2 linked regions of the Macaca mulatta genome follow. The protein of the gene in region 1 interacts with the protein of each later gene in a biochemical or structural test. Links are inferred from orthologs where the notes say so. Each region holds a gene or a part of one and is shown on either strand. Other genes may lie near its edges.

Region 1 (4,256 bases):
GGTTATCCTGATAGTCTTTTCATACATCTATTTAATACACGGACTCTATGTCAGTTTATTCTCCATGATGATACCCACAATAACACTGTGACCTTTCAAATGGTCAGTTTTGAATAATCTTTTCTATTACTTTCTAACCTATCTCGCCCCTTTTCATTAAGAGGGATTTTCGGCCGGGCGCGGTGGCTCAAGCCTGTAATCCCAGCACTTTGGGAGGCCGAGGCGGGTGGATCACGAGGTCAAGAGATCGAGACTATCCTGGCTAACATGGTGAAACCCCGTCTCTACTAAAAATACAAAAAACTAGCCGGGCGTGGTGGCGGGCGCCTGTAGTCTCAGCTACTTGGGAGGCTGAGGCGGGAGAATGGCGTGAACCCGGGAGGCGGAGCTTGCAGTGAGCCGAGATCACGCCACTGCACTCCAGCCTGGGAGACACAGCGAGACTCCGTCTCAAAAAAAAAAGAGGGATTTCCACCCCTTCTCTCATTGCCTTTACCCATTCCATGGCTGTGACATCATGATTACTATCAACTTCACTAAGAATTCTGGTGTTTTCAGGCAACAAAGACTTAAGAATCTGTTCAGATATTTCCATGTATCTAAGGTCTCCTCACCCACTCTCCCCGCAGCCTCCGAGAGCTTTTGGAACTGCTCCACCAGGTGGGGCTCTTCCTCAGCCAACTCCTTCATTGCCTTCTCGAACTCTGCAGTGGCTTGAGAAGCCAGTTCACTGTCGAATAGTTCCTGGAAAAACTTCTCTTGGGAAGCGAAGAGGGCATCCTGCGGGGGAAGGGTGGCTGAAATGCATCTCTTACTTAGAACTACACTGCACCTGGCCTCTGATAGAAGCCACAGGCAGTAGCTATGGGAAATGCACTTCCCTCCTACCCACTTCCACTGGACACTCTAACTACTGCTCCTAATGAGAATAGCAAAAAAGGTATCTAGTCTTTGAAAGAGGGTATGGGATGGCATACCAATCCAACCATTTAAACCTACTATTTTTTCAAGGAACTCTGAGATTCCTCCACTCAACCTCAAGTCCTTATTTCACAAGGACTGAGGCTGGCAAGAGCACTCACCAATGTGAGGCCAAGGTACCCTCCCCCATTCCCCTCTGGCCCATAGGGGCCTGCCCAACCTCTGCTCAGAGCTGCATGCCCATCCCCTCCCTATCCCTTCAGGGGGTGGAATTTATACTTTGGCAGTGTCTCCTGGCGATCTCTTCTGGGGCCCCGAAGCATCAGGGGCCGTGGTGGTAGAAGGGGGTGCTGGGGAGGGTTTGGCTTTATCGAAATCATCAAGAGCACCTTCAGAGACAAGAGACATGGTGTGTGTGTTGGCGACAGATGAGGATGCAAGCAAGGCTGGGTGGTTTCTGGGCAAAGCATTAGGAATATGATTTTTCAAATTGCCAACTTTCCTCAATTTTCCGCCTTGAGGCCCCCACCTCCCCAGACCACCCTCAATGAGCCTCCTACTTCCTTCCAGATTACCTAATTTATTGTGAGCAAAGGCAAGAAATCCCTGACGGTGGAACAAGTATCCATCTCAGAGCTGGGAGGAGAGGATTAAAAATTTCTGCAGAGACATCTCCATCTATAGTGTCTCCCTTGCCACAACCTAATGATTCCCTAGAAATCCCATACAAATAAATACCCAACAGGAGTAGAGAACACAGATGTCCTCATCCCTCTGAACTCACTCTGGAGCTCTAAAAGGAATAACTTGGTGAGAAGGCACATGACATCCCACCCAGCTTCCTGTTGGTACTGGTACCAGCACAGACTGAGGGACCACATACTACATTCCATGGTAAGGCATTAAACTATCTTCTCTTATTCTCCAGTTTAGTGCTCTCCCACAACCTCCTAGAGCTCCTTTTGGTCTGATCTTTGCAGATAACCGTAGGCTAATTTACAGTCACTTGGCACTCCTCAGCGTTTCTGTTCATTCTTCTGCCTGCCCACATCTCTGTGATTGAGCAAGAGATTACAAATTCACCTCTGCCCTGAAAAGCCTGTGTCCTCACCACCATTCTGCTTGCCAGGCCCAGGGAGAGAGCACTGGCCCCACTCTGGGCAGGAAGCCAACAGGGGAGTGGACAGTAATGCTAAGAAAACATCCACCGTCTTTCAGGAGGGTGAACTGCTTTCCCCTGAAATCGCCACATCCTCAGTTTCTCAAAATAAGGGAAAGGAGTCCGCTTGAGCTACTAACAAGATGAAAGAACTGTTAAGGGGCCTAACGAGAGAAAGAGAAAAGGACTACGAGGAAAAAAGTGTCTTTCATGTCAAGGAAGGCAGGACGAGGCGCAGCAGCATGGGCCACGAGCTTGCTAGGAGTTAATGTAAGCAATCAGTGAGTGCGTGGTTCGCTACCCAACAAGAACCAAATGCTGCTGCTGCTGCTGCTGAAGTCGGACTTTAAGAACTTAGTAACCTAAAGAAAGAGGAGTTTGGAGAGGTATCATGAAACGCCGTCCTGCGGAAACATCCACAATCTGGACCACTGGGGGACCCCAGGTGAGTTCCCCAGCTCCAGTCGCGGAGGTGGGGCAGGATGACCCAGAGATTTTTGGGGGGCTCGCGGTCAGACTCTCCGCCCCCATTTAACCTTTGGAGATCCTCTCCCGCCCTGTCCCTAATATCTCAGGTTCACTTAACGCCCGGAATGGGTCCTCACAACTGCCCTCTTCGGGCCTTTCCCACTATGGGCTCTTACTTTCCAGAAGCTCCTCCAATTCCCTGTCTGCTTCTGCCCCGACACCACAGTCTTCCTCAGCGGCCGCCATCTTGCTACCTCCGACTTGCCGTAGGAGGCGGGACCCCTCGGCGCCGCCACGCCCTCCACCCCTTCGTTCCTGCCCTCTTCTGCCTCGGGCAACCAATGGTATTGTTGGCCAGTGCGGAACCGCCATTTTTAAAGGGCCAGGAAGCTTTGAGTTTCTGTTTTGGGTATTTTTCCCCTTTCGCCTGTGAAACACAGAATTAAGGATAAGATAGTGTTATTTTCTGCCTGGTTTTAGAGGCCCGGACTCCTTTCAACTTCCCAAATTACCTGGCGAAGCTCTTTCATTATTTCTTCCTGAGCTATGAGTAGGCTAGATTGAGACAAACTGCCTACAAATAACCAGAATCTATACATATATGATTGATATGACAATTATGGTACATAACATACTACTTTCTCTCACTTCTTTTGTTGAGACGGAGTCTCGCTCTGTCGCCTAGGCTGGAATGCAGTGGCGCTATCTTGGCTCACTGCAGCCTTGGCCTCCTGGGTTCAAGCGATTCTCCTGCCTCAGCCTCCCGTGTAGCTGGGATTACAGGCATGCACCACCACATCCGGCTAATTTTTGTATTTTTAGTAGAGACGGGGTTTTACCTTGTTGGCCAGTCTGGGTAGCCAGGCTGGTCTCGAACTACTGACCTCAGGTGATCCACCCACCTCAGCCTCCCAAAGTGCTGGGATTACAGGCGTGAGCCACTGCGCCCGGCTTCACTTCATTATTTCATTCAAATGTTATCTTCTCTGAAACACTTTACTTGGCCATTCCTTTTCTTCTTAACACTGAACACTATCTGACATATTATCTACCGTGCTTGTTTATTCTCCGCTTCCCACCGTGCAGAATTTAAACACTATGAAGGCGAAGATTTTCGTCTGTTGTCTTCGCTGCTGTAAAGCCCAACTCCTAGGCTAGGGTTTAAAACTTAGTAGGCACTCATTGGCCACTCTTTGCTCTTGCAGTCCCTAATCAGGCACATCTGTCTGCCCAATCTAGTGGCATCTCTCATTTCCTATTCTCTATTAGAACTGTTTGATTAAAGGACACAGGGCCAGGAACTTAGAACTCAATGTTAGAAAGAGAGCATCTGGGACCTTGGACTGAGCAGGGCAATTAGAATGTAGTAGTTAGTAATAGACTTGCTTTCCCTGACCAATCTCCTTTTCTCCACACAGAACCCAACCTCCAACTGAGTGAACACCGGGGATGCTCAGATAGAGGTAACTCTAGACGTCCCTTTCCTCCTTTGGAATTGTTCTATTCAGATCTGTAAGAATGTAGCAACTGTTTCACATACAGATCTGTTTTAGCACTTGGAGAGCACCTATTATTTAGGTCTTGTTCTGGGCACAGCAAGGACAAAGAGATAAATCAGGACCACCCCCTGCTGTAAGGTAGCTAAGTGGAGGTGAGCCGCAGGTATGATGAGATATACACACAGTAAGTATGACACAAGGTAAGAATT
Region 2 (4,027 bases), on another chromosome or scaffold:
GTCGCAGTGATAATAGGTATAGCCACCATAATTAGTCCACTACTGCTCCAAACATACTTCATCAGGAATTGTTCTATCATGATGTACCACAAACGTTTGGATAAAATGAGGTTCATCTGATCCACTAAAGCTTTGTAACTTTTCTGAAGTTGTTTCATTTCTACCTATAGAGAGGAAAAAGAGTTGAGGACTTTCCTTAAAGACATATACATATTCTTTTTTTTTTTTTTTTTAGTATGGCATTATCTATGTGTCTTAACAACCAATAAATACAGATTAATACCAGTATTAGTTATTATTTAGTTTTGGTCACATGTGTATTATTTTTAAAAGTTTATGCTACTCAGTGGACATAATGTTGGGTATAAAATACATATAAGTAATTTATAGTTATGATATTTAAATTTTATGCATGAGATGTTAAAACTAAATGATATTAGGTAAGATATGAATAAACAATTGTTAGAGCTTTGTCCTTGTTGATTACACCAAAAATACCTGAAAATGGACACATGACATATATATGTATAGACTCTACTTTTGAACTGACTCACTTTGTTGGATTTTGTCTTTTATGCAAGAAGTCTAAACACACTATAATTTATATCATTGAATTCAATAGTTTAAGAAGAATCACAAATCAATATGATATAATACAATATATGAGGTAATTTTCAAGTGGGAGCAAGAGTCCTAAATTTACTTTAAATATTCTTTTTCAGGTTGCTACTGCTATTAAAAAAGACACTGATAATTACTGATGCTTTAAAAATTAAATAATTCTGCTTGGTGATTGACATGCCGTCTTCAACAGTAGAATACTTTATTTTATTCACCAAGTCATTTAAATTAAGATTGCATTGCCTTTAAAATTTCTGTCTTATTTCATATTCTGAAGTTACCTTCATATACTATGAGTATGTATAATTGGGCTAATTGTTTTAGGGATCTGCTTAATGTTGAAAATCTTCAATAATTGAAAACATTCTGAAACTCCTTTTGTACTCCTCATTTCTTCTCTAATCTCAGCTTTTTTTTTTTTCAAAGCTGGACAAAATTTCATTTCACTTCCTCTTTTCATTTTGTCAAAATATAGTGCTGAACATGAACTAAGAGTAGTAGAAATGCCATTTTGTGAGACACTTTCCTATGCTTCTTGGGAATGGGGATGCTCCATATTGATCAGACATGCAAAATTGTTAAAAATGTCTTCTGTAAGAAATCCTGGTTCCCCCCCTCCTTCGACAACAAAGGAACAACAAAGAATATCATTCTAAATTTTCCATTTCAATGGAAACATGTTTAGTCTTAGTTTCCAAATATATATTTTCTTCTGGTAGGTGCTCTAGGGCCACCTACCAAGTTGGGATTTAAGTTTTAAGAAAACACGTTAGAAATAATTCTGACCATATTTGAGTAACTGAGGCTAAGTAGGCTTTTTCAGAGTGTTGCAAATTTTATTCTCATGACACTTTAGAAAAGTTTGCACCCTATAATTCTTTAACTGGTTACGGTTAAAAGGGGTAATGAAGCATGTATTTTAATACAGGTTTAGATGTCAGAGGAATCTAAGACACTAAAGAAGTGGGTCCATCGACAGGACAACAGATGGTATCTGGCACTGCAGTGGCAGCTTGAACAGTCTCACATTTCACCCATCACCTTAATTTCTATCTTACCTTATGTCCTCTGTAAAAGGCAATTTCTTCTACATTGGCTATAATTCTGGAATGCACATACCGCAAATAGCCTTTTCTATGAGCTTCCTCTGCCACCAGTTTGCCAAATTTGGGAGAACAGGCTTTCAACACTTTAGCAGTGGCATATACCACAAGTCCTGCTAATAGGGTGGGCCCAGTTGGGCTTGCTCCTCTGGATGTAGCAGTTTGAATGAGTGTATAGGAGGTCAGGATTACATCTAAAATAGGTTTGGTCAGATTAGAATACAAGTGAGCCACAGATTGGGAGAACATCATAATATCCTCTGTAAGAGATTGGTCAGGGTTTGCCAGCCTCCCATCCATATTGATCACTTTATAATAAGTCTGATTTGTAAAATAGGTTTCATAGGCATGGTCTACTAGGCGAGTTCTGAAGGCCAAAGCCAATTTGCATTCCAGGTACCTTATTGCACTGTTGACGAAGGTAGCAGGGATGGCAATCATAAGCCACTTGATTAATTTGATGATGAAAGTCCGAGGCTTCTTTTCCACAATGCTTTTCACGATTTTTCCATCCAGACCAGCCACATAGATAGACAGAAAGGTTCTTGAGATTAGAGCCACTGAGTGCAGGCAGAGCCACCCTGTTTCAGTGGTCACAAGTTTTGGAAACAAAATTTTCCGAAGTTCTAGTAGCTGTTTGAAGAAATCTGCATTCACTCCAGGCGAAGGTATTTTACAAACGGTCTCGGTGCAATGCAGTATTTCTGTGTTCTCTGCAGCAGGGTAAGCTGCTTCTTTTTTCTTCCCGTGGCCAGATTGCTTTAAACGCTTGCCAATGATGGGATAGAGGGTTTTCAGAGCATATGCCGCAGCCACCAGGCAGGCAGCCCTCTTAGCAGCACTCGATCTGGTCCATTTCACTCGATCAGCTGCTGCATTTAGCATATGTGTCATTTTCCCAGTTACCCAAACCGGCTTCCAAAAGAATTCGTTTTAAAAGATCATGCTTCACAGAAATCCCCAGCAAATGTTTCAGAAAGTCCTACAGCGTCCCATAGTCTGCAGCGTTTCTCTTCCACTGTTTTGTTTTTAATTTTGTTCTGCTGTGACAGATGCAGCAGAGCTCAGACTCCGCTGCATCTACCGGGAATAATTCTCTCAGAAGCTCCAGCTGCACCAAGCTCCTCCCTCCCAGGCCCCTCATTGGCTGTGAGGGCGGTGGGACCTTGGAATCTTAGCAGCTTCCCTTTGAACCTTGAAAATGAGGAGAGAGCAAAACGAATTACATCCTTCCTTAAACAGGAGTTCAGAGAGTTAAATGTCTATTTTTGGAGAGGTCGAATCAGGCCATCTGCTGGCGAACAAAAACCGCTCTAGCTACTGAGCATGCTCAGTGTCACTTAGAAACCCGCAGAAGTTTCAGAATATACATCACTTCGGTAAGATTTCAGTAGCTACGGCAAACAGAAGAGCAAGCAGAAAGGGAGATTTCCAAGCGAACAAAACCGTCTCTAGCTACTGAGCATGTTCAGTGTCACTTAGAAACCCGCAGAAGTTTCAGAATATACATCGCTTCGGTAAGATTTCAGTAGCTACCGCAAACAAGAGCAAGCAGAAAGGGAGATTTCCAAGAGTTTTAACGAGACGAGGAGGGAGAAGGAACCACGGAAATGAGGGAGGAGGGACAAGAGGATCAACATAAAATGAATATGGAAAAAGCATGGAAAGAATCTGAAAGGGATCAGAAAAGAAAGTGATAAGTGGGAGGGACACTGGAGAATGCCAAATATCAAATACAAACACTTGGATCTGTTTTTCCGTCCCCCCACCCCCGGCTTTTTTGGGGGTCTGATTTCACATAAGGTCTCAGAACCTAATAGACAAGTTGTAATTGAGGGTATCCCTTGTAAATAAATAGGATAAAAGTCTTCCGTGTTATGGAAAATAATTATTTGCTATGCCTCTAGACATTCTCCCTTTTTCCCCTCCATCCTACTTGTCCTTATGATAAAAATCTTCCAGCCCCATAACTGGAGATCTGATGTACTTATAATTATTTACAAGGAGGCGACTATTAAGTAAATGAGATCAATGTTTCATTTTTACTACTCCCATGTGTTAGGTAGTTTTTACTTCGAGGGTGGTAGCACTTATAGTCAAAGTTTAACCATTTGGGAATTCAGCTGGTGTTGGATGATGGAAATAACTTCTCTAGGACCTTACTTCATTTTTCAGGAATTCCTTGTCTTTTGCAAGTGTCTTTTTTGTTTGTTTTGTTTAGCTGTAGAGATAATCTACTGGCTACTTCCTATTTCTATTTGGTTATTTGATAAAAACTAAGAGTCTTAAATTTCTTCACATCC

What was found. The genes of interacting proteins can lie anywhere in the genome.
Region 2: the proteins of PEX19 (region 1) and ABCD2 form a complex in vitro, tested with the Homo sapiens proteins (3 studies listed by BioGRID and IntAct, with this or other methods). The link is inferred for Macaca mulatta from reciprocal best matches to the Homo sapiens genes PEX19 and ABCD2.

What each region holds. Positions count from the first base shown.
Region 1 is NC_133406.1:106,602,229-106,606,484, reverse strand, and holds the start of PEX19 (peroxisomal biogenesis factor 19), read right to left. Parts: upstream 2,812-4,256; 5' UTR 2,795-2,811; coding exon 2,725-2,794; intron 2,526-2,724; exon of another isoform or gene 2,035-2,525; intron 1,311-2,034; coding exon 1,201-1,310; intron 781-1,200; coding exon 615-780; intron 1-614. UniProt on the Homo sapiens protein: Necessary for early peroxisomal biogenesis. Acts both as a cytosolic chaperone and as an import receptor for peroxisomal membrane proteins (PMPs).
Region 2 is NC_133416.1:46,484,166-46,488,192, forward strand, and holds the start of ABCD2 (ATP-binding cassette sub-family D member 2), read right to left. Parts: upstream 2,807-4,027; 5' UTR 2,619-2,806; coding exon 1,680-2,618; intron 165-1,679; coding exon 1-164.